Lonchura striata: one gene and its partners. The protein of the gene in region 4 binds, or shares a complex with, the protein of the main gene of each other region. Links are inferred from orthologs where the notes say so. Each region holds a gene or a part of one and is shown on either strand. Other genes may lie near its edges. The genes, in order: TAF4, TAF13, TAF11 and TAF10.

Region 1 (7,369 bases), on a different chromosome or scaffold from region 4:
ACTTCACTGGAAATATGGATGTAGGTAGGTATGATTATCATGAAAGAAAAAGGGCCTGTACTGTTGCTGTCCAAATCTACTGTTCACCTCTTTTTATTTTACAATGCAAGAGTTAAGACATTTTCTTGCGGCATACCGTACTTAATTATGAATATTAATCCCTATTAGGAGCATTAGACTTCAGGGATTCACCTAAGGACAACTGAAGTACATGGGATGAGTTGAAGAACAAAACTTTAACAATATTTTTAGATTTCAGGGAGAAGACAATCAAGAGTGTAGACTAAAAGGGGCATTGAAGTTGCTTTATTTACTTGTGCATGTCTGGAGTAAAACTGCATTTGTCCCTAAAGTCAAAGAAAAATACTTGAACCAGGAATAGTTTTCCTATAGATTGTCAAACATTTTTATTCTGGATGCAAATGAAGTCTTGTTGCTTTTGCAGATCACTTGCTAGTGGAGACTGACACCCATTTGCAGAAGAATCAGCACACAGACTTTCAAGGTTACCAATGGGCAGCTTCTGCACAGAACTGCATCGTTTTCAACTAGGACTTCATTCCTTTGCTCCTAACACTCTCTGCTTACCAAATTATCCATTGAACTCCTGTGCTCCTCCAAAAGAAAAAAAAATAAAAGGTACAAGGCAGAAAGGTAGGGAAGGATACTGGCTACAAGGCTAGTGCAGCTTTATGAATGAACCCAAAATTTTGGTTTTGCTGAACACTCTCCAGTGGAAACTGACACAAGTGTGGATTTTGTCATCTTGTTTGACTGAACTTTTGAAATCAAGGTATTACTGGTAAAATCCCAACTTTCAGTGTTTCAAATGATCCTGGGTGAGGAGCAGAGAGAGGCAGGAAAGAAGAGAAAGAAATCATCTATCAAAGCAATACGTTTTTCATCTATTTATTGATGGGCCTTTAGGCTTCTGGTGGGTCAGTTAAGACTAAAACCATCTGTAGGCTTCTCTGTTCTGTCCCTTGTCACCCCAATCCATACCTAAGTCAGATGTTTCTGTAACGAGTTCTAGACTAACTTCATTTTTAGAAAACAAACAGGAAAATGGCATTACCTTAACCTCTGACAGTCTCTGTGTCATGATCTACATTGTAGATCTAGGGGAGGAATAAGTATTTTAATAATAATATAATAATATAATAATATAATAATATAATAATATAATAATATAATAATATAATATAAAGGAAGGAGGTTAAGGGAACTGACAATTCTCCATTTTTCTTGGATAGCTCCTGCTAGTTTCTGCTCTTTGACACGCAGAGAACCCATATGTATCTGTAATGTTCAAGATCTTTTGATGTAACTGATGGGTGAATTCCACAGCCTTCACTGTATATTGAGTCTGACTATTTCTACACCAACACTAATAATTACCTGTACTCAATTACTAGAATCCTTGTGCAAGTTGCTCTTTTTGTACCATTTAAAATGGAGTAGTACAGCACAGGAGCTGGAATCCCTGTGCTGAAGAATTCAGTCTAGAAACTTACTTCCAACGTCAAACAAGAGACAGAGTGTATGAGAAGATAAATTATTCAGTAATGGATCCTACACACTTATAATGCACAAGTTGTAATGAATCTCAGTTGCTCTTGTAATTTTGTAAAGTTGTTTACCTAATATGGTAGATGTGCCATATGGTACACTAAAGAGAGTGTTAGAATGAGGACGTGAAGATTTCTAGGTTTTTATTTCTAGTTTTGTAGGCATCTGTAAACTACATTCAAGCTGTCCTAGAATGTGAGCAGAGCAAGAATGCAGGCTGCTCTGCCCCTTCATGCTGACTGCTGCTGCCACCTGATAACATCCTCCATCTCTTCCTCCCGTGCTCCTCAGGCACTGTGGCCCAGCATGGGGCTGTGCCCTGGCTAGATGCCATCAAAGAAAGTCTTTCAGACACTCTGCATCTTTAGGCTGACTTAGTTTGAGCCAAGCTTTTTCACCTTTAATACATTATTTGAGCAGCTGGTTAACTCTTCTGGTGGGTAGGGAATGTGACCAGGCTTCTATTCCAGAGAGTTCTTTGGTATGTTGCTTATAGAATTTCACCATAGCTAAAACTAGCAACGGGCTTGACTGAGGCAGCAGCAAAGAGGTTGGGACTGCCCTGCTCAAAGCAGCATTTCTGGCTTGTAAGAAATGGGTAATATGACCTACAGTGATGCCTGTAAAATCACATTCACTTTGCAGTACTGTAATTTGTCAAAAATTGATAAAATGGGAGTTAAAATTCACACAGATGAAAAGGGCAGTTTCTTGCTCACCCTTGAGTTTCAAGTGATGCCTGAGAAAAGCATTTAAGTACAAGAATAAAATATTAATATAAAACTCAGAGGCTGTAGGCAGTTTCTCAGGATGATGCCATGGGGGTAAGTGAGCAGAGCCTTGGGAAAGGCTTAACATTGTAATTTTTAGTTATCAGCCAAAGTCTACTGCAGGTGAGAAGAGGACATAGAAACTAGAAGAGCAATATCCCTCACTATGAGCTGAATTTCTAGGATTTTTGATTTAAAGGGACTTGCACTATTATTTGGGGCCTGTATGTTAAGAGCAAATACCAGTTTTTATGTGATTTTTTGGCAAACAGCTTCTCCCTGGTAGGTACGTTTGCATATTTGAGGACAGGGTGAGAACTGGACAGTACTTCACCACTGTTCCCATTGCTCATGGAGTCAACTGTCAAGCAGATCAATTCAATTCATGTTAGAATTAAGTGATCAAGTTAAGTGATCACCACAAATATGTGATAGGGGAAGTGCTGACACCCACATCTGGGCAACCCTACGTACAGAAAACTTGGACATATTTAAATGTATCCCCTTTTCATAGATAAGTCAGGGCTCTGGTTCTTCCAGGTCTCCACCAGCCTCCAGGCAGGAGGCCAGTCAATTCCCCAGAATCATCAACCAGCAGGTGCTGAGCCCATCCCACTATAACAGAGTTCCAGTCTCTAATGCTGCCCATTCCCAAAATGTAACAGCAAAGCTTATTTTAAAACCCTGATATAAGAGGTGCTATTTTAAGCTTGCTACCCCTTAAAACTTGGAAGTTAAGTTAAATTAGGCATTGGAATAAGTTGCCCAGAGAGGTGGTGGAGTCACCACCCCTGGAGATGGTTAAGAGGAATCTGGATCTGGTGCTGGGGGGATGTGATTTAGTGGTTTAAGGGTTACAGGGGTAGTGCAGTTGGACTTGATCTTAAAGATCTCTTCCACCCTTGATGATTCTATGATTCTATTCTGTGAAAGATAAATCATACCATCTGATAACATTGTTCCAATTGCATCTGGTAATACTGTTCCACTCATTCAGTTTTCTGGAGAAGCAGCGCCTGGCAGAAGAGCGCATTTATTGAAAGGCGGGTTGTATTTTTACGTTATTTACTTCCTTTATGATGGTTGCACAACAAGGTCAAAGTGCAGCCGCGTCCTGTAGGCGATCGTGTCCACCTGCAGCCGGCGCCGGCCGAGCTGCGCGGGCCGGGCCCGGGGGCTGCGCTCCCCGCCGAGCGCCGCTGCGGAGCGCGGCTCTCCCCCAAGGGTTAAGCGGCGGCGGGGGTGTAACGCGGGCTGACACACGGGCGGGGATCGCCCCGCCGTGCCGGCTCGCAGCTGCGACTGGACCGTTCAAAATTGCCGTCTCCCTCTCTTTTCCCCCCCGCCTCCCCTCTCTCTCTCGCCTTCCTTTTCCCTTCCCGGCGCTGGGCTCGCAGCCGGGCGCGCTTTCCCGGAGCTGGCCCCGGCCGTGCTGAGTCAGACCGCGCCCCGCGCCCGCCCCCGCGGCCCGGCCGCACTGAGGGGCTGCTGCCCCCGGCTCGCCCCGCCGACGGCGGCGGCAGGGAGGCAGGCGCGGGGGCTCCTCCTCGCCCGCTGCCCCCGCCCGGGGCTGGGCGTGTGCCCCGCCCGCCCCGCCGGTGGATCAGTTACACGCAGCTGGCACAGGTGCGGGGCGCCCTTCAGACTCGCGCCGGCGGGGGAGACCCGGACGCAGAGAGCAGCAGGGAAAACATGCAGCCATTTTGGGCCGAGGCAGACAAAGAGCCGCCGGCGGCCGCGGCCGCCCCCGCCGCCCCGCGCGACTCCCGAACCCCCCGCACCCGCGGCGCGGCCGCACCGAGGGGCCGCAGCCCCCGCCCGCCCGCGGCCGCCGGGGGGCCGCCGCCGCCGCCCGACTCCCAACTAAGCGATCGCAGCCATTTGCACGGCCTTTTATAGGCGGGCGCCGGCCAATCAGCGGCGGGCGGAATCCCTGCCCGGCCGGTGATGTGCGGGCCGGGCGCTCGCGCGTGCGCTGTTGGGCGGGGGGGCCGAGTGTGAGCGGGGCGGGGGGAGGAGGGAGCCGTGAGAGGGGAGGGGGGGGAGGAGGGAGCCGCTCACAGGAACCCTCCGAAAAAAAGATGGCGGCGGGCTCGGATCTGCTGGATGAGGTTTTCCTGAACACGGAGGTGGATGAGAAGGTGGTGAGCGACCTGGTGGGCTCCCTGGAGTCCCAGCTGGCGGCCTCCGGCCACCACCACCAGCACCACAAGGCGCAGGAGCCCCTGAGGGCCGCTGGGGGGCTGCTGGGGAACCATGTTGTGAGCAGCAGCAGTAGCAGCAGCAGCCCTAGCCCCAGCCCTGGAGGAGTAGTAGTAGGAGGCAATGCTAATGTCCAAACAGAGAGCAGCAGCGGCAGCAAGATGGGACTGAGTGCCCCAGAGATCACAAAAGCAGGTAACGTGGGCAGGGGTGGGGGGCTCTGAGGGAGAGGGGCCCTCCCCTCCCCCCACTCTCCGGCTCCCGCTGCCTCCTTCCCTCACTGCTTTCCCCCCTTTTCCCTCTCTCCTCCTTCTCGTTGTGGCAGGAGCGGGAGTGCAAAGGGTGGTATCGATCATACGGGGGAGAGCCTCCCCTCATCATGCCCCCTCGGTGTGTATCCGCGCCTCTGCTCCCTCCCCTTTATTTTCCCTCCTCGCCTGTGCTTACTCGAGGGTGTTGGATCCTGTGTGGGGGCAGCCGCCCCGCAGAAGGAGCCGGCAGTGCCCGTCCGTGACTCTGCCGGTCCCCTCTGCTTTTCCTGCCCTTGTTGCTGGAGTGTAAAAGGGCTCTGTTAATCTCGGGGACTGAAGGAGGCAGAGCCCACCCCCTTGGTCATGGCTGTGCCTCCCATGCCGCCTGTGATTGCTCCCCTTCCCTTTCCAGGGGTGGAGGTTATGGGGGGGATTCCCTCTTGATAATGCCGCCTTAGCTGTCTGTGTAAATGCTCCTTCCCCTCCCCCTTCGCTGTTGCTGAAGTGGAAGGGGGTGTTATTAATCATGACACCTATTTCCTGTAGAGGAGGAAGCGAGGGGGGATTTCAAGGGGAGGAAGTCCCTCAAAATGCTTCCCCCCCATATCTGCCTGCCTTGATATTCCCCTCGCACCCCCTCCCTTGTTCCAGGGGCTCGGAGGGGGCATGGGGACCTCCCATTCCTCCTCTGCCCTCAAGGGGGGGTAGTCACAACGCCGGGTCCCGGCAAGGGGGGGAATTCAGGCCACAGCACCCCACCTTGCACAGCGCCTTCTCCCACCGCCCACCCCCCGAGCTGCCTGGGAATATACCCCCCTTCGTGTCCTGAGGCTTCTAGGGGGGCAGTGTGAAGGCTGGGACTGAGGGCTCACTACGTGGGAATGGAGGGAAGCTGGTTTTTTTCAGGGGGATTGAAAGAAATGTCTCCCCACAATCTCTCTGCAATTCCTCCCCTCCCCCCCCCTTTTTTATTTTTGATTTTGTCTTGCTGAAGTGTAAGAAGATACTACAGACCGTCTGTTATGATTGATGAAGCTCTTCTAGGAGGATCTCCTTGACCCTTATAATGTGCATCTCAGTGTCTGCCTGTCACTATTCTTTTCCCATTTCTGTCTCCTTAGGGCCAGGACCTGGACTGTGTGTGATTGTACTTGTGCTAACACCAGGCCTTATCAAGGGGCATGAGGATTATTCAGGACAAGAAGCTACATCATCTTGTCCCTTCTGAAAACCAGCTTTGCTTTTTATTTATTTATTTTTAACTATCTCTGGCTGTGGGAACTTCAGCTCTGTTGGAACAAATTCTGTAATAAGGAAGAGGGGTCTTCTAGAAACCTGCTCCAGGCCTTGCAGTACTTCTTATCTTGCCGGGCTGATGTTTTCCTTTCCTTTCACTTTTCATATTTTGCTGTTGCTGAGCCTCCTGATCTGACTGACTTACTTTGTAGGAGATGACAGGATTAGAGACTAATGTGTGCTGGGTATAGGGAGTATGTCTTAATAATGTGTCTTCCATGGCCATTCCCCCCCTTGCAGTTGCAGTCCTGTTTCTAAGTGGGATGTCAGGCTCCAGAATGGGGAGGAGGTCTTAGATGATCTTCTTACTTCCCTTGGTTCATACTAAATCTGTTTTCCCTGTTTTGTACTGTAGTGTCAAAAGCAGGGGTGTTACAATTAATTGTTACAATTAATACTGAATCTGCCAGTCTTTGGTGGGATATTGGAGGCTTTAAGAATATGTCTTCAAAGCCGTGTTCAGTTTGTACTCTGTCCTGTTTTTGTGGCTCCAGACAGGCAGCTTGGGAGATGGAGAAGACCTGGTGATAAGGGAGAACATTCTGTCTTTGCTGGACTTCTCTTCTTGCTCATTCGCTCTGTGTAACTTCGTTGTTGTTTTTCAGGGGCAGGAGGAGTGCAGGGGGGTGTTATTAATCATAACACCAGGTCCCAGACTTCAGCTCTGGATGGAGCCACCACAACGAGCACCAGCACCACCACTGCAGCAGCAGGAGGATCTGAAGTCACTGCTGCTCCAGGGACCCTCAGTCAGGGCAAATCGGTGGTTATCAGCACCATGGCAACTGCCTTGTCCACCAGGAATGGCAAGATTGGGACCACGACGGTGCAGACTTTGAATGGGAGTAACGTGGTGATGAACTCTCACCACACAGGAAGTGCTGCTTTCTCTGGGACTCCTGTGACTGCCAACCCCGCTCCTGCACCTGCTGTCGCCCCTCTCGTTAACAATGGACCTGGATCTGTGGGGAAAGGAAACGCTGTTAATGCTGTTTTGCCCTCAGCTTCTAACACTGTCATCCAGACTTCTTTCCTTAATACTGCTGTGTCCTCTGCATCCTCCTCCTCACCCACAGTGATCTCCTCGCAGCCACCGCCGAGCGTTGGCACTGGGGCGCCCACGGTAACGCTGGTGAGGCCCCCCATCCACACAGCAGGACCCACGGTGGCTGCGGCTGCTGCGGCCACTCAGAACGGGAGCAATACTGTGATCAATTCAACCATCAGTGTGGGGAGTTTTCCTGCGGTTGCCACAGCCACTGTGGGATCTGGAGTTTCCCT
Region 2 (6,905 bases), about 93 Mb from region 4:
AGAAAGTAACAACCATTTTATTATGTTTTTGTAAACCAGGTTTTTTTTAGTGGCTGATTTTTATATTTTTAAGGGTGTTCCAAATAAAGGAATAGTCACCATCCTTTTACCTACCCTTGTCCAGGAACACTGACTTTGTTACCTTTACTCAATGTCCCCTCTCTATTGCCTAACCACGTGTCAAATGCTGCTGTCAAATCCACAGTGCAGATAATTCCCATCCATGGAAGAAAGGCTGCAGAGCTGATCACTCACTGCTGCTTCGGACAAAAGACTTGCCAACACATTTCCAAACCTTACACCCTTCCTTCTGTGCTGCTTGTAGAGGGGACAGCCTTGATATGCAGTATTATTGCTGTTACAGCATTTGTTACGCTTGCTCTGAAATCAGGAGTTAACTGAACCTACCTCCCCAAGCTGTTCCAGAAGTAGGGAAAAGCACAGCTGTGGCCTGTATTACCCACATGGTATGAACTGATCAATGTATATTTAGTTACAAAACATGGGCACAAACATATGTTTTATTCAAAAAGCATGTACAGAGCAAAGAGCACAACTTTGATAGTAGTTTGAGTTTAAGGTCTTTATACAGATAACCAAGATCCATTTTCAGGGTTTCCTATCACAGGAATACCCAGTGACAACTTAAACAATTTTAGAAAATCATGAACTATCAACCCTTGAGCCATCTGATAAAACACAGGCCTACCTGAAACAGACTCCTGCCACTGCAGGAACTTTTAGAGCTTTTTCTCATTTCATCAAATGGTATAAAAATACCTAAATATACCACATACAGTCACGTAACATTTCAGCTGCTTGAATACTTCTCAGAAAAGGCTGGGAGTGAGGGTAGACATCCCAACAGTGACCTCCATCCTAAAAAACCCTTCCAAACAACACGCGCAATCTTCAATTCTTACTTGGCAGCAGGTGCCCAAATAATGCCCCAGTACAGCTTGTGCACAGAATCAAGACCCATAGTTTGCTTCATCAAAAGCCTTTCTGGCTCGTTTCAGTTCTTCATTCATAGTTAGGAGGTCCTTAACTCTGGCAAACTTCCGGGGGTCCTTGCGTATTAGAAAGACGATGTCCTCAACCTGTACCCGACCCTGGCGCCCGATGGACATGGCCTTGTGTGTCTGTCAGAGGAGAAAAAAAAAGGCAACAGTATTCCTTTGCCATGGTGCTTTTTTAAGGTCTCAATTCCACTTTATTCCTTGACATTTTATAATAAAAGAGTAAGCAATTGCTGATTCTGGGCACCATCATCCTAGTCACAAGAGAACTTCCCAGTAAACCATGGACTTAGTCTAATGTCCCGAGCTGCCTGTCAGTTACACCCCAAACATAACCACTACAAATGTATCAGGTAATGGTATCAAAACTAAGGACAGATTACACATAGGACATTCAGCCTGCAGAATGGCTGAAAATTAGGCACAACTTAGAAGCAGTATGAAGTAACTGTATAAGAGGCCAGTGCAGAACATTTTGATAAGATAGGAAAGACCAACCTTTCAAAACAAAGGGATATGTTTGGATACTTAGAAACAGCATTTAGGTCTGGAAGAGAAATGGGCTCAGGCCCAAGAATGCATTCATTTTGGAGGGCAGAGCTAAGTTCCTATCCATGTACAGGCACTGGGCAAACAAAACCTGACTTTCAAATCTGAGCCTTGTCTTCTGTCAGCTGCACATACAGTGAACACCAAAGTCAGATGGGTACCTCCCCTCCTACAATATTAATCTAAATGCTGCTTAAAGCCTTCAGTGTTCTAAATCCACATGGAGCAAGATGCATAAATTTTACTTTAATCTTGGGAAAACAAAATCCAAGTTTAAGTTTCTCCTATTAATGCCATGAGTTTGGGGCCTGGAATAATGCAATATTTGAGTCGGAGGTATTAACCTTCAAAAAAGGCAAAGTTTGGTGAGGATGTTTTGACTGTGCCATCTAGAGTTGACTTACCATTTCAGTGATAAACTCTATTACCAGGTCCTCAAGAATGTCCACTGATTCTGTGTAAGGGTTCTGGTCATCCCCAAATCCATACATCATGCACCTTACTGCACAAAGAAACACTCAGTGTGAGGCTTTCATCCATTCAGTGCTGCACACATCTAGTTAGAGCTCACCAGCCTGCACATTCCTGCACCAGGACGGCACTCTCATCTGTCAGGCAGGACAAATCTTGAGGAAACATACAGGAAATAAACATAAGACAACAAAAGCCCTCCTGTAGGTACAGGAGCTGTACATACAGAAAATAATGTCTGAGGACAGGCTCTCTGAATTCTCATTTAGGCTGCAAAGCACTGCACAGTAACAGTGCAGCTAACTTTGGGCACAGCTATGTCTAGAGGATGCACTAGCAGTATTTTTGAGGGGGAGGGTCTACATGGCAGATTTCTGCAATTGCAGCCAAGGCATATTATGAAAGCCGCTGTTTTGCTAAGAAATGAGTTTTGGGACCCCATAGCTGTCAGCTCGGGGTTTCAGCTGAATGGCCCGGCCCGACTTACGCTCTTTGGAGAACAGCCGCTTCCTCCTGCCCTGCCCACCGTCCAGGCCCCCGCCGGCGTCCTCCGCGTCCTCTTCGAACTACAGGGGCACAGCGCAGGGGAGGCCGCGGTCAGCGCCCGTCCGGCCCCGGCCCTTCCCGCCGCCTCTCCTCCCGCGGCTGGCCGCGGATCCCGGGAGGGCAGCCCTCCGCACTCACCGGCACGTCCTCCTCCTCATCCGCCATGGCCGCCCGGCGGCCCGGAACCGCTGCGGCAGCGCGGCCCCGCCCCGCGGCCCCGCCGGGAGGCGCCGCCGGGCCTGCCCGGGCGGGCGTCGGCCCCGCGCGGCCGCGGGCGCGGCTGCCCCAACCTGGCCACGACACTCAGTGGCGGGTGGCTAGATCGGGATAGCGGGGCTCGAAAGAGAGCTCGGGAGTGTCTGCTAACCCCCCTGCTCCACAGAGGGTCAGCCACCAGGTCAGAAAGGGTGGCTTTGCACAGTCGGTTTGTTCGGTTGGCAGGGGCTTCTCCTTCCCTTCAGCGAGGCACACTTGCCCATGTTCACAGAATCATGGAATGTAAAAGATTTGGAATAATGGCCCTTAAAAATCATCTAATCCCAACCCCTCTGCCGTGGACACGGACACCTCCCACGAGACCAAGTTGTCCAAGATAAGCCTCCTCTTCCGGTTTGTCCCCTTGTCCTATCACAGTTCCTGATGGGCCCCGTCTAGCTTCTCTTTAGGCTCCCTTCACATACTGGAAGGTTGCCGTGAGGTTTCCACCTTCTGGACAGTGCCCAAAGGCGCTTGTCTTTGTAGGGGAGCTGCTCCAGTCCTGTTGTATTTCATACAGTTGCTGTCAGCCCCTTTGCTCCAGCCCTGCCCTTGAGCATGCCCACTGTTCCCCTCACTCTGGTGCCCTAGGCACATTAGCTTTAATCTTGCAAGTAGGTGAATCCAGCAATGCACCTACTCCAGATTACTCATAAAAATGCTAAAATGGACACCTTCCAGAATGGATCCTTGCCGTGTTCCACTTTTAACTGCCATGCGACTGGAGTATGAGCCACCGGCTCCTATGCTCTGTGCTCGATTATTCAACCAGTTTTTACTGATCTACTAGTGCACCTGTCCAGATTGCAATGTTCTCATCTTGGACACTATTGCAAAAATACTGCCTTTGTAGTGTCAGTTATGGCAACAGACAAAACCAGACCAGACCCAAGACATGGTAGAGGAAGAAAATGGACAAAGTACTGCTGAAGGACCAGGGAAGACGCACAAGATGAAATCCTTTTCCATGGAAGCTAATACTCAACATGATTTCTGTAAGTAACAGCTGTAGAAGAGGCAAAGCTTTACCAGGTAATGACAGGAGCTTTGAGTGAAGCTTATGCACTGCAAACAACTAAAGACATTTGAATTTAAAACTGAAATGAGCTCTACTGTATCAGCATGCTGCCAAGCCCACCCCACCATTCATTAATGAGGGGGAAAGAAAGGAAGATCTTTTGTGTCTCTGGCCTGAGAAAGTGCAGCTCCTCACTCTGCAACTCAGCCGGTACCTTAAGAACCTGGCAAAAAAACCTCCAGTAGTGTGTCAAGGCACCTGTGTACCCAATCCCTGTTCCCACAAATGCACTGAAATAAATTTTACTGTTTAGGGGGAGGACTTGATTTTATTTATTGTTTTGCCACAGGGGCACTGTCACACTCAAGAATCAAACTGTTAGTGTTCTCTCCTGCAAATAGCTAAGAGCAAAATGCAGGAGTTATTCCAGTATCTGAAGCGCTTCCGAATAAAACCATGATGTGTCCAGAGGTAAAGTTGGTTCTTCTGGAGAAGATGGTACCTAATGTTCCATGCACACACATCCAGCTTGTTTATAAAAATGGATTAACTGGACGTATTTAATGTATTTAAGTGGTTAGTAAAAGACTTCCTAGCACTGTAATGAAATGTAAGGGGTTTTGTTCTGAAGAGGGACTAAAACCAGAACTGCACTTTTTTACATATTCAGGGTTCTTTTCAGAAGCCCTTCAGTCAAGGCTGAGGCCCTGAAAATTACAGCCTTGACAAGGCCGATGTTTTTGGAAGATCCTGGTTTAAAGGATTTACAAAAAGGCCTTTCCTGAAGTGTTCACTTTCACCTGTTCCATCTATATAGCTACTACTGCATTTCTAGGATCATGCATCCCTTGGGCTGGTTTGCCCTGCAGCATTTTGGGATTAGAGATAAAATATTAACAGAATTACAGGTTTAATCGCAGAAGCTAGCGAGCCATATTTACTGTATTCCTCATATTCTCCTCTTACATGTATGCTGAAAACAGATCTTGTCTCATAACTAGTGTGTTACAAGAAATTGCATAATGAAACTGGTATTTCTAGTCCTTTTGCACTATCAGAGTGGTTTAGAAAAGAACTTTCCTTTTTGAGGTTTAAACACTTAATGCAAATAACTGACAACTGCATAACCACATTTGACCTGACAAAGATTGAGTGCCAGGGTTTGACACAGGCACTTCATAGCTTCAGATTAAGTTCTCCTGTATGACTGCTGCTATTTATGGCTGTCGTTTTGTCCAGTTCTGCCTTTTAACTGGACAGCTTCAGGTGCTCTTAGCTGCTGTGGAACAGAGTTCCCCTAAAGCATACAGTGCTGTGCTTCAGCTGCCAGAGTAGAGCCACTACAGATCATGGATGTTGTGCCTCAGATCTGGCAATTCATCCAAGTGGTGCTGCAGAAATTCATGCTGGATCTCAAAACAGAAGGTAAATGCAGCACTGACTCATGACAAGTGTGCAGGACAGGGTTCCTCTAGATGTCAGTCTTTTATTCCACTCTGTTTCAAGTCAACACTCATGGAAAAGCAGATCCCATAGAAGATGTGTTCTTTCCTTCATCCTTGTGGAACAGGGACAATTCAATGTCTGCAAGCAAGGCATGCCATCCTGCTGCACCTAATGGACACAGAGGACTTACAAAAGTACAATATACAAGACGTTAAACAGACTTTCACAGACAACAGGTTGGCTATTTCCACAATGCATGGCCTCAGAGCAGGTAGGCTGCAGAGGAGGTAGTTTTTGGTCCCTGCTATCCTAATCCTAATCCCAGCTGAGAGAAGTAAGTAAGCCTCTGTGTATCATTCAGTTCAACTAGGCTTGCTTAATGTTAGGGCTGTAGTTTTTCTTTCCTAGATTAAATGCCTCTTTATTAATATTACTAGACTGTATCTAGTATCTTAAATATAGCAGAGGTAAGGCATGGAGTAGTAGATTTTTTAACATTTCAGTGTAGGGAGAGGAAATGGTGTATTAAAACTTCCATTCTCTATGGAGGTTACCTACTTTTTTTCTCCTTGGCACAATCACGTAGGCTTTATGAAACAGTTTTATAGTAACTTGGATTAATTCATACTGCAAACTTCCTGAACTGATGAACTTAATAAAGAAAAAAATTAGCTATATAAATACTAATTTATTCAAAAATACCATAATAGTAACTTGGGTTATTTGCAACAAAAACCGAGACCTGTTTTTGGTACCTCTTGTTCCTGATGAGCCAAGCAGATCAGCAGGTCTTTTCAGCTGGCCTCTACAATAGGCAGGTTTCCAGTAACATGGGCTACAAAACACCTGAGCAAGTGAACCCCCGAAAACTCCACAGAGCTGTAGAAAAAGAGTCATAGATGTTCAGTGCCACATACTGACGTGTCTTGGAGTAATAAAGGCAAATAGCCACTGGCTGTGCTCAGTTACATGTCCCACAGTACACCCTGGGAAAAGCCTGCACTTTGGCTATGTAATCCAACAATTACAGCTCTTACTGTTACCAGAACTCCAAATAAAATGGGAAGGCCTGCTACCATGCTGCACAGGAACTGCTGCTCTGCTTTGAGAATGGTCAAATGAAGAAGCACCTGGAAACAAACTTCACTCACTTGCAGAGAAGGGGGAAAGAAGAAAAAGGACATTTCCCCATCAGCAGCCCACCTTCTATCCTTGGGGCACAGAGAGGTGCTGCTTCTAGAGCAGACAGACTTGTTTTAGGTATCTTGCCCTACTGAACTCATTACCAGAAAGGCAACAGCAGCAGTGGAGAGGAGCTTTACCTGACCAGGAACAGCTGAGGAAAGCATCCCTGAGTGCTCTTCTTTACGAACTCCTGGATCTCTAGTACGTTCTTTAACAATAATCCCCTGGAAGCTCGATCAATTTTTGTTAACACCACCTGCATGGATCCAGAAAAAGAGGATTCAAAGAAGAAAGTAAGATGATTTTGCTGTTAATCTGGAACATCTCTAAGAGTCCTAAACGGTCTTACAAAGCAGTCTGAAAGCTCTGAAAGGTCATATCTAGGGGAAAAAATAGTCTAACACAGTTCACCAAAA
Region 3 (7,149 bases), on a different chromosome or scaffold from region 4:
AGACCCAGTAAAAAGGAGTGTAACCCAAAACCCACACGTGTGGGAGGACAAAACCTCCTGGGTCCCCACAGATTGTAAATATCAAAGTTTACTTTGTGGAGCCTCTTATTTAAGGATTCTTCCTCTGTTCCAGTGAGAGCCCACAGGTGCCATGGGAGAGCACGTGGTCTCAGCACCTCTCACAGGGTCAGGAGCAGCTCCCAGGGCCCCTGGAAGGGGACAGGGGCAATGTGCAAGTCTGAACTTGAATTTGAATTTTAGGCAGTATTGCAACTTTGCTGCAGTTTGTTTCCACTGATGGGTTTATTGGTTCTATGAACCACGAGCAGAATTAAACTCATTAACCTCCTTCCAGGCTCTGGCCTCTTTTCCTGCTTTTCCCTCCCCCTCTCTTCCCACTGCTGCTGTTTTTTGGGCAGCTTCTGGATTTGGAAGCACAGCTGAACCCTGATTTCAGATGTTCCCAGGGAATCAGCTCTGGGAGCACCTTGGGTCACACAAAGAGCAGATCCCAGCCTGGTTATGAACACAAGAATAAGTTTAATGCACTGAAAAGAAAACCCACACATCTGGGCACAGATGGCACATCTGGGCCAGCAGAAAATGCTCTGCAGCCCCTGGATGTTGCTCTCCCCAAAGTCCAGGTCAAGGGTGCATCCAGGCTCTGCCCAGCACAGGCAGGGACAGCAGGAACATCCTTGAGGTCCCACAGGTCACCCCAAAAGGGCCTTAGGGAAGAGTCCACGTGGGAAGGTCCTACAGGAAGCTTATCTCAGCCTCTCTCAGTGGAAAATGATCTTTTTGTACTTGGAGTTGGGGATTTGCCCCCGTGCCTTGAGCCTCCGGACAGCCTCCCTCATGTGCTTGGGCTGCAGGGGGGGCAGCTCCCCCCACTTCTCACACACATCCAAAGCTGGACAGATAGACAGACAGACACACAGGTCAGGGCAGGGGCCAGCTGAGCTCTGCCCAGCCCCTGCTGCTGCTTCAGTGCAGTTGGGAAGGAACAGGAAATGTTTGTGCTTGGGGTTTGCACCAGCTCCTCCTCCCTGACAGGAGTCCCAGGGCAGCAGGCAGGACAAAAAGCTGCTGAACCCCTCAGGAACTGTGGAGGGGGTGGAGGAGCTCAGAGCCTCTGGGGGTGGGTGGGCTGTGAGCCCCAACAGCTGAGCAGAAAGAGCAGGCTCAGCTCCCTGTCCCAAACTGATCTGAGCTCATCCCACAAAGGAACTGGGGCAGGTCTAGAGGCTTTGGAGCCACTCTGTCCCTGCAGCACTAATGGCATCCCCATCATGCAGCTGCTCTGGGGCTGAGGGACGGAGTTGCCAGCCCAGCTTCTCTTCCTGAGGAGAAGCAGCAGTGCTGGGGGATCAGAGGGGCTGTGGCAGCTTCTGCTGTGAGCCAGAGCTGCTGGAGAACCATGAAAATCCTGTTCCACACCCTGCTCCAAGCAGGGAATTCACCCTAGCCTCTCAGCAAGGTGCCACTCACCTTCTTCCACCACCTCCCCAACAAACACCTTGGAGATGCCCGACATGGCAATGACGACGTTCTGGGACACGGAGGTGCCGGTGATGGACTGGATGAGCTGGGACAGGGACAGGGACAGTCAGATCCCCACCCCCGTGACCTCCCAGCCCATCCAGCCCCTCGGGGAGCCGCGGCCCCAGCTCCCGCTGCGGGGATTGGAGCTGGAGCCCCCCGGGACCGGCCGTGGCCCAGCCCCGCCGGGGCTCCGGCCGCTCTCGTACCCGTTTGATGGCAGCCTTGGGGAAGGCAGAGCGCCGGTACATCTCGTAGCGGTTCAGCTGCTCCTCGGAGAAGGAGGAGACCAGGATCCTGCGGGGCACGCAGCGATCGCTCCCAGCCCCGCGGAGGCCGGAGCGGGGAGCGCCGGGCTGGAAGGCGGGGAGGGGGATCTGGAGGGGGCTGCGGCACCGGGGCCACGATTCCCGAACCCGCAGGCACTCACTGCATCTTCTGGATCTCGTCCTCGTCCACTTTCTGCTTCTTCTCCTTCCGCTCCTTCAGCTCCAGCTTCACCTTCCGGGCCGCACCCGCCTGCAGCCCCGGCTCCTCCGCGTCCGCCGCCTCCCCCTCCGCGCTCCTCACCTGGGCGGGAGCGCAGCGCTCGTTCTGCGGCCCCGCCGCCCGCCCCGGCCCCGCTCCCGCTCCCGCCTCACCTCCCCGTCCGCCACCTCCGCCTTCAGCTCGCTGCCGCCGCCAGCCTCCCGCACCTCGCCTTCTCCCGCCGCCTCTGCGGCCGCCGCTTCGGGCGGGGAGGCGGCTGCGGGCGGCGGCTCCGGCACAGCGGCGGCGGCACCGAGCGCGTCCCGGGCCGGGTCCGCCATGGCCGCGCCCGCGGCGCCTCCTGATGACGAAACACTGCGGGCGCCGCGAGGGGCGGGGCCTATCGCCACGGGAACGTGACGCGGGGCGCCTCGTGATGACGCACGCGCACCGGCGAGGCGGGGGGGCACGGCGTCTGTAGTCATGGCAACGGAGGTGCGACAGCGCGTCCCGATGACAACGAGGGCGGTGCCTGTTGCCGCGGCAACAGCGACTCGGCAGCGCAGCTTAATGACGCGCGGGGCCGGGCTTGTCGCCATGGCAGCGGGGCTGCGGAGGGGGCCCCGTGCGGGCCTCACCCCCGGGCTCTGCGCGCCCGGACCGACCAACCCCGCTCCGAGCCGCCCTCCGCACGCCTGGACCCTGCCGGGACACGGCGCTAGGGCGGCCCCGCGGGGAAAACTCCCCAGAGCCGCCCGAAACGGGCGCGGCCGAGGCACGGCGGGCACCGCGGGGGGCGTGGCCGTTACAGCTCCCCGCCCCCGCACCGCCCATCCATCAAACCCCGCCCGTCGGGCCGCGCCCTCCGAGGCCCCGCCCCGGCCCGCCCCGGCCCCGCCCCGGAAGTCGCGCGGGCGGCGGGGCCGCGCCGGCCATGGGGAAGGAGCAGGAGCTGCTGGAGGCCGCCCGCACCGGGAACCTCCCGGCCGTGGAGAAGCTGCTCTCGGGGAAGCGCCTCAGCTCCGGCTTCGGCGGCTCCGGCGGGGGCGGCGGCGGCGGCTCGGCGGGGGGAGGCGGCGGCGGGAGCGGCGGGAGCGGCGGTGTGGGGCACCCGCTGTCCAGCCTGCTGAGGTGAGCGCGGCCCGGGGACGGATCCGCGGCCCGGCGGGGGCTGCTGCCGCTGGCTGCGGCGCTGCGGGCCGGGAGGGCAGCGGGAGCCGCGGGTGGCGTGTGTGGGGCTGGGGGCGTCTGGGGGGTTTGGATCTTGGGGTGCAGCGAGGGGGCTGCTGGGGCCGCAGCGCTGCGGGGCAGGCCGGGGTCTGTCCCCGCTCTGCTCCCCGGCTGGGACGGGACACTGCAGCGGGGCGTGGGAGCTGCGCACCCCTGAGCGTTTGGTGGGGCCGGTGATGCCGGGGGGCCGTGCCAGAGGGAGCTCCTCGGGCTGCTGTGCCCTCCGGAGAGGGGAGTGGGTGACTTTCGAGCTGTCTGCAGCCGGCAGTGCCAGCGCTGGGTGCTGCCCGTCCCCCCTGGCACCAGCCGCTGCGGCGCTGGGAGCTGCGGTGTGCCCGGGGAGGCTCCCGCACTGCCAGAGCTGCGGGATGACTTTCGCGAGGTGTCCCGGCCCTGCGCTGGCATTGTCGCGGCTGGCGGTGACACTCTGTCGTGCCTGGGCTCGGCTCGTCCTCAGCCCCATGCTGTGGAATTTGCTGGTTGAAGCTCTTGGACTTTTGTTTCTCTTCCTCGTGTTTTGGCATCACCTCTCGCTGCTGGAGCTGCAGCTTTGGGCACTTTGGGAATGCTCCTGGTCCCTGAGCAGTTGGTTTGTACGGGAGGTGTGGAGGAGGTTTGTGTCCAGTGCCAAGTGATACTGTTGCTACACAACCTGGCTGTTCAGAGAGATGTGACTTGCCCCTTTTTGGCCAAATTTCATCTGTTTTTCCTTTCACATAAACCAGTTGGATCCCTGCAGGTTGTGCTGGTGGCAGAAGCTTGCAGGCATGCGAGAGCTCACCCTGCCCTGGGGCACACGTTTGCCTTTCTGAAACGTAAATCTACCCTTGGGTCGAGCTTTGTTCTTCTCTTTTGCTACATTAAACAGTCTGAGCCCTTGTTGGAGTGGGATGGATGTGCCCACAGGGGCCTCAGATCAGTGCAGTGGCTCAGTGCAGTTGAACACCCTGTGAGCTGAACCAGATCCGCCAGTGCCCAACAGCACCTGGGCACGATGGGGCCTTTTTCTGCCTTTTCCTGGACAGTGCCCGTGGTGCCATGGTCCTGGAGCAGTCCCGTGGTGCCAGAGTGAGCCCGGCTGTCCCTTTGGCTCTGACCTGTTACTGTTTCTCACATGTGGACACTGCTTCGTGCACAGCCTGAAGGAGGGTGCCTGTCACAGCTGTCACTCGTTTTCCATGCTCACAACCATGGCTGTAGCTGCTGGTGACACTGGACCTGCCCCTTTCTCTGTACAGCTGGGATTTGTGCCTGTGACAGCAGTTCCTGGTCTGGCTGCACACTGTGGGGCATGGCAACGTGTCCTGTTTGCCACCTGGTGCTATTTAGGAGCTTTGTGACTGTTTCCCACCTCCCGAGCACTTGCTGGGCTCTGGCTCTGTTATGGACTCCTCCAGCTCGTGGTGAGGTTTTGATGAGAAGCAGCTGCTGAGTGTCCCTGCAAGGAGAGGCCAGGGAGTGCAGGAGACAGGCTGGGACAGGCTGCAGGGACCAGACAGATGAATTTTAGGGTGGAGAAAACATCACCTTTTCCAATGCTAGAACATGGGAACTTTTCTGATGTAGGATTTTGCCCTCCTTGGTTGTGGGGAGAAGCCTGCCCTCAGTCAGGCCTGTGTGCTCTGTGTTTTCCCTTCCTTGGGCAGCCCGTGACCCTGCTCAGGCTGATCCCTGCTCCTGCCAAGGCTCCTCGTGTCCGTAAGGATCTCTCCTGACACAGGAGCTGCTGAGCTGCTCTCCACTCCCAGAGCAGGAACATAAACACTCTGCTGGGCTGCTACCTTTGTTCTTTTCTCTGCCTGATTTCAGGACCCTATTTTAGTTTCTGTTTAAGTCCCACTGTTTGGATAACCTGCTCCCAAAGCTCTTCTCTCCTGAGGTGCCTGTTGCAGCTCTTTTTGTCAGTTCTGCCTTTCCAGTGTCTCAAAGATATAGTTTTGGATGGGGTACAAACCAGGCATTCCCTGGAATTCCCACATTACACCTGGTACATGCTGTGCTGGCACCTGCTCTGAGCTGGCACTCACTGGTTTGGGCCATTTCTCTTCCAAAGAGAGCAAGTGCTGCTCCATGAAGTGGTAGAAGATGGCCCTGGCAGTAAATTCCTTGCAATGTGGTGTTTTATCAGGTAACCTGAATTGCCATTGGTCTGTTATCAGTTAAATGTGAACTTTGTCACAGTCTGGGCTGTGCTGCTCCTTCCCAGGCTGAGCAGGGCCCGCTGGGTGTGGAGGCAGCACAGATTCCAATCACCTATGGCTGCAGGTGAGCAGGAAACAGAATGGGATGGAGTGGGGTAATCCACAGGAGGAGGAGCTCCAAAGACAATTTAAGTCTCTGGAGGGGTGAATGTGCCAGGTGCAACACTCAGGGCACTGGGCAGGAGAATAAATCCTGATGGGAAGCTGATGGGAATGGGGAGTGCTGACAGAGAGCTGGGGAAACGAGGAGGATGCAGGAGGGGGAAATGGGAGTGTGGATCTGCCAGAGCAGATGGTGGGCTCACAAAGAGGTGATGGCTGCCAGGCTTTGGAAGGCTCGGCTCCCTGCTGGCGTCCACGCAGCCCCTGGGATCTGCCAGGGCCTGGGGAGCTGCTGCAGGCCTGGCCCAGCAGTGGGAGCAGGTCCTGGCTCCCTGGCCAGGCCCGGCTTCTCCGGTTCCAGCCATGGACCGTGGCACAGGCAGGAGCTCCGTGTGAGGAGCCAGAGAGAAAACCCACTCTGTGCATGCACAGCTTGAGGCTTAAGAGCAACAGCAAGTCCAGAAATCAGAGATGGTCTGTGAATCCTTGAGGTTCCTTGGGGTTATGAGCCACTTCTGCATCGAGGCTGCAGAATTTGATGTATTGTGGTTTTTTTTTTTTAGTGGTTTACTGTGAAGTTAGGGGTGGGAAACAACAAAACAGTCTGTGGCTGAGCTATCAGGCTGCATTCAGGAGGTTTTGCCAGGAGCAATGAGGGATGGGTTGTGTTAAAGCCAAAGCTGCAGAAGCAGCTTTTTATTTCCATCTATTGCTGTGAAAAGTCTGGATCTGTGTTGCCAGAGGGGGAAGCTGAGGCTGCTGCTGAGCCCCAGATGGGATATGCAGTCCCCAGGGAGCGTATCAGGGAGATGCTTCTGCTGGGGATGAGGAGTTTGGGTGCACGTCTATTGTGGGAAGGGTCGAGTGCTGCTCCAGAGAAGCCACAACCCTTGCTCCAGCCCATTTTCAGCTGTTGCTGCTGGTGAGGGGGTCTGGTTGGTTTAAAGAGTGATGTGGCAGGATGGCAGAACACTTGAGGTGGCTTCCAACAGTCCAAGGGTGGTTAGGAATCAGAAAAAATTTAAAAGTGGGGTTTGCTATTTGTTCTGGTGCTGCTGATGGTTCACAGCAGGGATCTGATGGTGCCTCCTGGGGAAGGCTCCGACTGTGCCTGTCTGCTGCCATTCCCCGGGGAAGGCACACGGTGCCAAGGATTTCCCCCTGGGGAAGGGGGGGATTGCCCTGTCCGAGGTCAGGGCCGGGCTGTCTGTCTGTCCCTCCAGGTGTCCCCAGGCCGTGTGGGTGAGCACACAGTGAGTCCTGCAGTGTCCGGCAGAGACAGCAGCAGGATCACCGGGGGGCTCCAAGGTCCAGCTAACCCAGCCTTGTGCAAGCAAGGTGCTTCCCTCTCTTGCCTTTCCCCATCACAAAGGAGCTGCTCCTGCTGCATTCCCGCAGAACAGGGCAATGCTGGGTCTCCCCCTCATCCTGCTGCTGTGATTAATCATCTCACCCACTTTAAACCTTCTCCACACCCTCCCGTGCACACGGCGCTGTGGGACTGAACCCTCTTTAATTACACACCTGAGCACAGGGATTGCTGAAGGTGCTTGTGCTGGGAATTGTTTCCTAAGTACTTCTTTAAGAATTCAAAGGCTGCAGTTAC
Region 4 (6,602 bases):
TGTTTGGTATGGAACCAGCTGCTGGGGTACGGGGCGGAGGAATGGGGGGAGTTGTTTGGGGTGGGGGGCTGGAGTGACTGGGGGGCTGAGACTCACAGGGGATGTCTAGGACTGAGGGTGGGGTTGGATTGACATGGGGCTACCTTGCAGCCCACAGAGCCCTGGGCACAAGTCACCACCCACAGCAACCCTCTGGTGCCCAGCACAAGTAGGGTAGATAGGCACAGGGCCCCCTCGGGAGGGGCCTGGTGCAGGAGGGGTGGGCTCAGGGTCCCATCCCTGGCTCCATTTGTCGTGCTGCCTGTGCAGCCCCCATGGTGTTCCCTGTGGGAGACAAGGGGCAGTTTAGGGAAGGAGGAGAAGGAAGAGTGCTGGGCAGTCCCTGTGCCCTAACCCCACTCTGCTCCAGTACTGCTGGGAGCACCGAGCCCCCTCTGACCAGCAGAGGGGGGTGAGCACGTGGAGGACCAGGGCCAGCACTTGAGGACGCAGGCACAGGAGCAAGGCTGCCTTCCCACAAAACCCTGTGAGGTGTTTAATGGCACTGACACTACCCCTACAAGCTGCCCAAGCTCCCCCGTGCTCTATGTGAAGTAATGCGGCTTTTTGACGTTGATGCCATACTCAGCCAGCGCCGGTGTCAGGTCCTCCATGGTCAGCGTATACTTCTTGTCCTGAGGGACATGGGGCAGGCGGTCACAGCAGGGACAGCCGGGGCCGTGGGACCCCCCACAGTGCAGGGACAGGCGTGTCCCACAGCCAGAGGAGCTGCTGGGCAGCACTGGGGTATGCCCACCTCCCTGCAGATATCCCTGGACAACTAGCACCAAATCCTACTGGCCTTGCGGAGCCCCTGATCCCCAGATATGGCACTAGGAGGGTCCCCAGCACCCCTCACTCCAGCTCCTCCCCAAGCCCAGAGCTGCAACCACTGCTGGGGTGGAGGGGCACCAAAGGGTGTCCACAAGCTCCATGCCCCCATCGTGTCCCCGCCAGCCCCTCCCCGCCCGCAGGGACCCAGCATAAGCCCGCAGATGTTGGGATTTCTACACCCCACATTCCTGCACTCGGTGGCTGCGGCTCAGCCCCATCCCAAGGGAGGGCTCCCCACTCCCCCCAGCCCCTCACCTTGCTCTTGCTGCGGGAGCTGCCCGAGGCTGTGCCCTTCATCTTGCAGTGCTGCAGCGCGTCATTGGCAATGTCCGAGATGAACTTCTGAGCCGCCAGCGAGATCAGGCGGATTCTGCGGGACAGGGACCGTGTTGGTGAGGCAACAGGGTCCGCGGGCCCTTCTGCCGGACCCTGCGTGGCTCCTGCCTCTCCCCCCCAGCTTGCGGCCACTCACATGCGGGGGTCCGAGGCCTCAAACCCTGCCCGGTTCAGGTAATACCCTGTGACGGCGTCCGGGATCTGGGAGGGAAGAGTTGGAACAGCTGCACAGCCCCGCGGAGCGTTTCTACATCCTATGTCCCGTGGCACAGGAGCCGCGCTGTACCCCAGTACCGCGGGACCTGCCCCGTGTCCCATCCCGTCCCGTCCCACGGGAGCCGCCCTGTGTGTCGGTACCGTGGGAGTGTAGTCCTCCAGCTGCATGAGGAAGTCCACGAGCGGTGTGGTGGACACCACCGGCTTCACGTCGCCGTTGGCCGCGGGCGGCACGTACACACCGTTAGACATGGCCCCGTCCGGGGGAGCGGCCACGGCCGCGGACACCGGCACTACGGGACAGCACGGTCAGCGCTACAACGGCGCACGGCACCAGCACCGCGGGACAGCACGGTCAGAGCTAGAACCGCGCACGGCACCGGCACCACGGGACAGCACGGTCAGCGCTAGAACGACGCACGGCACCGGCACCGCGGGACAGCACGGGCAGAGCTAGACCCGCGCACAGCACCGGCACCGCAAGACACACGCCCAGCGGGACCCGGGGCACCCCGGAACACCCCGGGGGCCGCTCCCACGGCCCGAGTAACTCAGCGCGTCCCGCGGGGCTCCCGTGAGCGGGGCGCATCTCCCGCCGCCCCCATCGCGACTCACCGGGCCCCCTCCCGCCGGCCGCACAGCCCTCGGCGGCGCGCGCCGCACCGCCCCCCGCAGCCGGCGCCGCCCCGGGCCCGGCGCTTCCCGCGGCGGCCGGGCTGGGCTTGCTGCCGTCGGCGGGGCCCGGCGGGGCAGCCGGAGCCGCGGCCGCGGGGTCGGGATCGCCGCTGCCGCTCATGGTCCCGGCGCCAGCCCGCTCCGCGCCTGCGCATGCCGAGCCGCTGCATTGGCCCCGCGGCTCCTTCGCCCCGCCCCCCTCGCCGTCCCATTGGCCCCGTTGGGCCCCCGCCTTGCCCCCCATTGGTTCAGCCCTCCGACGCTCATCGCCCCGCACGGGTCCAAACAGAGGCGGTGGGCGGGGCTTCGCTTGTTTATTGCTCCGCCCCCGCCGCCCCAGCTCCGCCCCCAGCTCCGCCCCCAGCTCCGCGGCGTTCGCGGTCCGGTCCCGCTGTCCGGTCCCGCTGTCCGGTCCCGCGGCCCGTGCACCGCTGTCCGTGCGGTCCCGCTGTCCGTGCGGTCCCGCTGTCCGTGCCCCGTTGCCCGGCACCGCGGTCATGCCACGGGGCCCCGGTCAGCGCGGCCCCAGCGCCCGCAGCAGGCGCGGGAAGTTGGGGGTGCCCCAGCCCGTGACCGGGTCCCAGGCGGGGGTGGCACAGAAGCCCTGGCCCTGCACGGTGCCATCCAGGCAGGACAGGTGGCAGCCCTGGATCACCTGCGGGGACCAGCTTCAGTACTGGACCGCGGCAACGCCCCCCAAGTCTCGGGACAGCGACCTCTGGAGCACCCGAGCCCCACACAGGCCTGGGACAGGGATCCCAGGGCCCAGGGACCACCCAGGACAGGGGTAGCATGGGCACAGGGACCCTGCCCGCAGTCCCCAGGACCCAGGGACAGCTGTCCCTGCCATCCCTGAGACAGGAATCCTGGGGACAGGGGCCCCCAGACATCTGACATGGGGACCCCCACAGAGCTCACAGAAGCCCATAGGGACCCCCAAGGATATCACGCCCATGGAAACGTCGAGGCCAACCCCAGGACCCCCTCCCATGGGAACGCCATAGGGATTCTCTCCTGCCCCCCAGCAGGACACTGCTGGCCCTGCCCCAGGCACAGCTTTGGGAGCAGGAACCCCAGGACAACCCCCAGCCCCCAGGACAGCCCTTGGAGCACACACGGCCCTCCCAGCCCCATGGATGGGCCCACCCCAGGCCTCAGCCAAACACATCAGAACACCCGAAGTCCCCTCAGCCCCCAGGACAGCCCCTCCAGCCCATTCCCTGCTCTGCTCACATCGTAGAATGCATCACCAAGCCCTTGCTTCTGCAGCTGGTAGAGCACAGGGTTGAGGAAGCCAAGGGGTGCCAGCCCCCGCTGCAGGCGCCGGTCATTGATCAGTGCCACCATGCCTGCCACCACCGGTGTGGACGCCTGCGTGGGCACAACCGCTCAGCCCAGGGCCCCGCCGTGCTGGAGGGCAGCAGGGGGTGAGCTCCTTACCGAGGTTCCCGACACCCAGGGCAGCGGGATGCGGTTTGTCACCACCCAGTAGTTGTCAGAGAGCGCAGCCAGGTCGGGGTATGCACGGCCACTGCTGTTGTAGTAGGAGCTGGGCGGCAGCTTCGAGGCTGAGTGCAGGAAATGCCCAACAGCAGCGGCCTGGGGATAGCACGGCCTGTGGGCATCCCCAGGGCCACTGTCCCCCCCGAGCCTAACCCTGCAGCCCCGTCTGCAGCCCCCAGCCTGGCGGCACTGGTGTCCCTCACCTGGTACTCGGGCATGGGGAAGACGTTGCTGAAGCCACCCCCGCTGATGTAATCCGTCACCTCCTCCGTCACCAGGAAGGGGTTCTTGAAGGACGTGCCACCCACGGTGGTGACGTAGGGGCTGGGGAAGCAGGGGGACACTGCCGGTGGGCACAAGGCTGCTTGGGCCTTAGCAGCCACCAACAGCCCCCTCTGCTACCACACCTTCACCCCACAGACCAAACCAATCCCGCAGCTGCACAGGCTGCAGCTCTGGGCTCTGTACGACTGCTGGTGAGGACCCTCAGGTGACCTTTCAGGAGCTCAGACCCCTCTGGGGCCGGGGCCGGCTGTGCCTCCGCAGGGCTGTGCTGACCCCTCGCACCCACCTGGAGGCCGGGAAGCTGGGCCGGAACGTGTGGTTCCCGCCATGCTCTCGCCGACAGCCAGCACCGTCGTCACCTGCAACACAGGAACAGGTGACAGGTGAGCACGGCGCCCCAGGCACCCCCTCCCCAGCCCCACTCGGTGCTCGAGCTCAGCTGCACCTGAGGCAAACAGGATGGTGAGGCCGCGGGCCGCCGCCTTCATGAACTCGGTGTTGACACGCTCCATGTAGGCGTAGGACAGGCTGTCCTCGTCGTCCCCGTAGCTCACCGAGTGCACCCAGGGCAGCGCTGACATGTTGCTGAGCAGCAGCAGCCAGGCCAAGAAGGGCTCCTGGCTCTCGTGGCGCCCTGCAAGGACATCGGGGAAGGGACACGTGGGATAGCTCCTCCGACATCAGCGACAGTGGGAGACAGTGCGAGGAGCCCTGCCTCATCAGCACCAGCACCCTCCTTCGCAGTGCAGCTCCAAGTGCTCCTTCCTGTGGGCCATGGAGTCACAGCACATCCGGCCTGGAGCTCCGTGAGCTCATCCTGGGGCTCCTCACATTGACAGCACTGAGCTTCAGCTCAGCCCATGGGGTTGGCAAGACTGTCATCAGCCCAGGACAGGGGGCTACACTCACACCTCCTCTCTGAGACTCTGCCCCAGGGCTGCAGCCACATGGGCACCTGTGGGCCCAGCAGGGCCTCAGCTCCTCCTCTGGCAACAGGTCCCAGAAGAGAAGCGCATGTGCCACCTCCACACATTCCACCTGCACCTGCCCAGGTCCCTCCCTGTTCCCAGCCCTCTCCACTGGGAGGGGAGCAGCGTCCCAGGCACACCTACTCACTCTCGGTCACCCATGTCACTCATCTGCATCCTTCCCATACCAGTAACTGTGTGAGGACGGAGGGAAGGGCAGCACTCATCTGCTGTCACCGTCACCATCAGGGACAGGGCTGCTGTCCCTGTGGCACCCACCTGCTCAGCCAGTTCCCAGTCTGGGACAAGGACACTGCCCCTAGCACTGTGCCCTGTTTGTGTTTGTGTAGGCTGTTTGGCAATTTATTTTCCCAATTCCCTCACTCTCCCTCATCTGTTCCTCTGGAAGGCTCGTGGGTGGGAGCTCAGCTGCAGCAGAGCTGGAAAACCCCACGGGAGGAGGGCTGTGCCCTCCTTCATGGAGCTGAGTGGGGCAGCTGCTCTGTATGGTGCTAGCAACAGAAACCCTGCTTCAGGATACTCTGAAGATTGAAGGTATACAGAGTTCAAAGTCACCACACACAGCAGGAGTGATGTCCCTAGGAGCTGGGAATGCGGTGCCAGCTCTGACTTGGGGAGCACACAGGGTCCGCTCCCACAGCAGCTGGGGATGCACCTGGGCAGTACTACAGCCAGTTGTCTGCACAGCCCTGCAAGCTCTCCCCTCACTCCTCCCAGCACTCCCCTCCCTTGTTCCAGCCCCCTCCCTCAAACCTCCAAATGTTCCCTTCCCTGCTCCAGGCCCTCCCCTCCTCTCTCTGGGTGCTCTCCTTCCCCCTGCCCCTCGTGGCTCTTCCCCAGTACCTGCGTTGCTGAAGACCCAAGTGGAGACATTGGCGCCCGTGCTCATGATGTATTCTACATCCAGGCTGGCCTCCAGCCCGGCTTTGCCACGGCCCTGGTGCCCCACCACCCGGTCCACTTGCGTGCGGTGGGCAAAGCCGCTGCCAAAGAGCTGCATGAACTCAGCCAGGTCAGCTTGGTGGAAGTACTGCTCGAGAAACTGTGGGATACAGAGGGACAGGTTGTCTCCTCTCAAAAAAACAAGGTAACGCTTTGATCCTGACGTAGGAAATTGCCCAGCACGGGTCTGTGCTACACCAGGTGCTCCCAGCAGCCACTGAGGGACACCCAGCTGTCCCAAGACCCCCAGACCAGCACCAAACCCTTGGACTGCCCCGGTACACATGCCTCTGACAAGGCAGTGCTTACCTGTGCACAGGCCTGGCTGTTGTTGGGCAGCAGCCCCACATCCCCCCCTGTCATGTTGTATCTCTGGCGCAGGACAGCCGGTGTCACGCCCAGGTGGAACGATGCTCGTGCCAGCTTTGCGTCCTTCCTGGCCCTGGCTCTGCTAATTGCCTTGTGCTCCGTGGGGAACCGGTGCAACCCACCCACTGCAGCAGAGCCCAGTGGGATGGGAGAGGCTGTCAGGGCACAGAGCCCTGGGAGGGCAGGACAGAGCCCTTGGACTCCCCATCACTGCCCCCACTTCTACACGGGCAGGCCAACAGCAGGGCTTGGAGAGCCCAGCCCTGCAGCCCTGGCCCAGGGGAAGAGCCTCTTCAGCCTTCCCACAGCTGAGCCTTCCTCAGCCTTCCTGTGGCTCAGCCATAGCCTCAGCCTGGCACCCCCCACGCTGTTAATGGGACGGTCACTGGATCCCACGGAACGGGGATCTGCAGG

The links.
Region 1: TAF10 (region 4) and TAF4 share a complex: the UniProt entries of both Homo sapiens proteins name them as parts of the TFIID basal transcription factor complex. The link is inferred for Lonchura striata from reciprocal best matches to the Homo sapiens genes TAF10 and TAF4.
Region 2: TAF10 (region 4) and TAF13 share a complex: the UniProt entries of both Homo sapiens proteins name them as parts of the TFIID basal transcription factor complex. The link is inferred for Lonchura striata from reciprocal best matches to the Homo sapiens genes TAF10 and TAF13.
Region 3: TAF10 (region 4) and TAF11 share a complex: the UniProt entries of both Homo sapiens proteins name them as parts of the TFIID basal transcription factor complex. The link is inferred for Lonchura striata from reciprocal best matches to the Homo sapiens genes TAF10 and TAF11.

Annotation. Positions count from the first base shown.
Region 1 is NC_134619.1:4,882,002-4,889,370, reverse strand, and holds the start of TAF4 (transcription initiation factor TFIID subunit 4), read left to right. Parts: upstream 1-4,364; 5' UTR 4,365-4,420; coding exon 4,421-4,736; intron 4,737-6,693; coding exon 6,694-7,369. UniProt on the Homo sapiens protein: The TFIID basal transcription factor complex plays a major role in the initiation of RNA polymerase II (Pol II)-dependent transcription.
Region 2 is NC_134604.1:23,956,198-23,963,102, reverse strand, and holds TAF13 (transcription initiation factor TFIID subunit 13), read right to left. Parts: upstream 2,792-6,905; 5' UTR 2,751-2,791; coding exon 2,724-2,750; intron 2,606-2,723; coding exon 2,527-2,605; intron 2,071-2,526; coding exon 1,973-2,070; intron 1,143-1,972; coding exon 972-1,142; 3' UTR 504-971; downstream 1-503. Other genes in the region: GTPBP8 (GTP-binding protein 8), read right to left, coding at 6,099-6,183, 6,627-6,745. UniProt on the Homo sapiens protein: The TFIID basal transcription factor complex plays a major role in the initiation of RNA polymerase II (Pol II)-dependent transcription.
Region 3 is NC_134632.1:4,361,408-4,368,556, forward strand, and holds TAF11 (transcription initiation factor TFIID subunit 11), read right to left. Parts: upstream 2,352-7,149; coding exon 2,184-2,351; intron 2,113-2,183; coding exon 1,973-2,112; intron 1,840-1,972; coding exon 1,752-1,839; intron 1,589-1,751; coding exon 1,492-1,588; intron 914-1,491; coding exon 783-913; 3' UTR 521-782; downstream 1-520. Other genes in the region: ANKS1A (ankyrin repeat and SAM domain-containing protein 1A), read left to right, coding at 2,945-3,141. UniProt on the Homo sapiens protein: The TFIID basal transcription factor complex plays a major role in the initiation of RNA polymerase II (Pol II)-dependent transcription.
Region 4 is NC_134604.1:116,987,396-116,993,997, forward strand, and holds TAF10 (transcription initiation factor TFIID subunit 10), read right to left. Parts: upstream 2,222-6,602; coding exon 2,041-2,221; intron 1,719-2,040; coding exon 1,567-1,718; intron 1,411-1,566; coding exon 1,346-1,410; intron 1,244-1,345; coding exon 1,129-1,243; intron 675-1,128; coding exon 585-674; 3' UTR 508-584; downstream 1-507. Other genes in the region: TPP1 (tripeptidyl-peptidase 1), read right to left, coding at 2,615-2,755, 3,334-3,471, 3,541-3,699, 3,807-3,927, 4,175-4,247, 4,334-4,522, 5,721-5,919, 6,129-6,313. UniProt on the Homo sapiens protein: The TFIID basal transcription factor complex plays a major role in the initiation of RNA polymerase II (Pol II)-dependent transcription.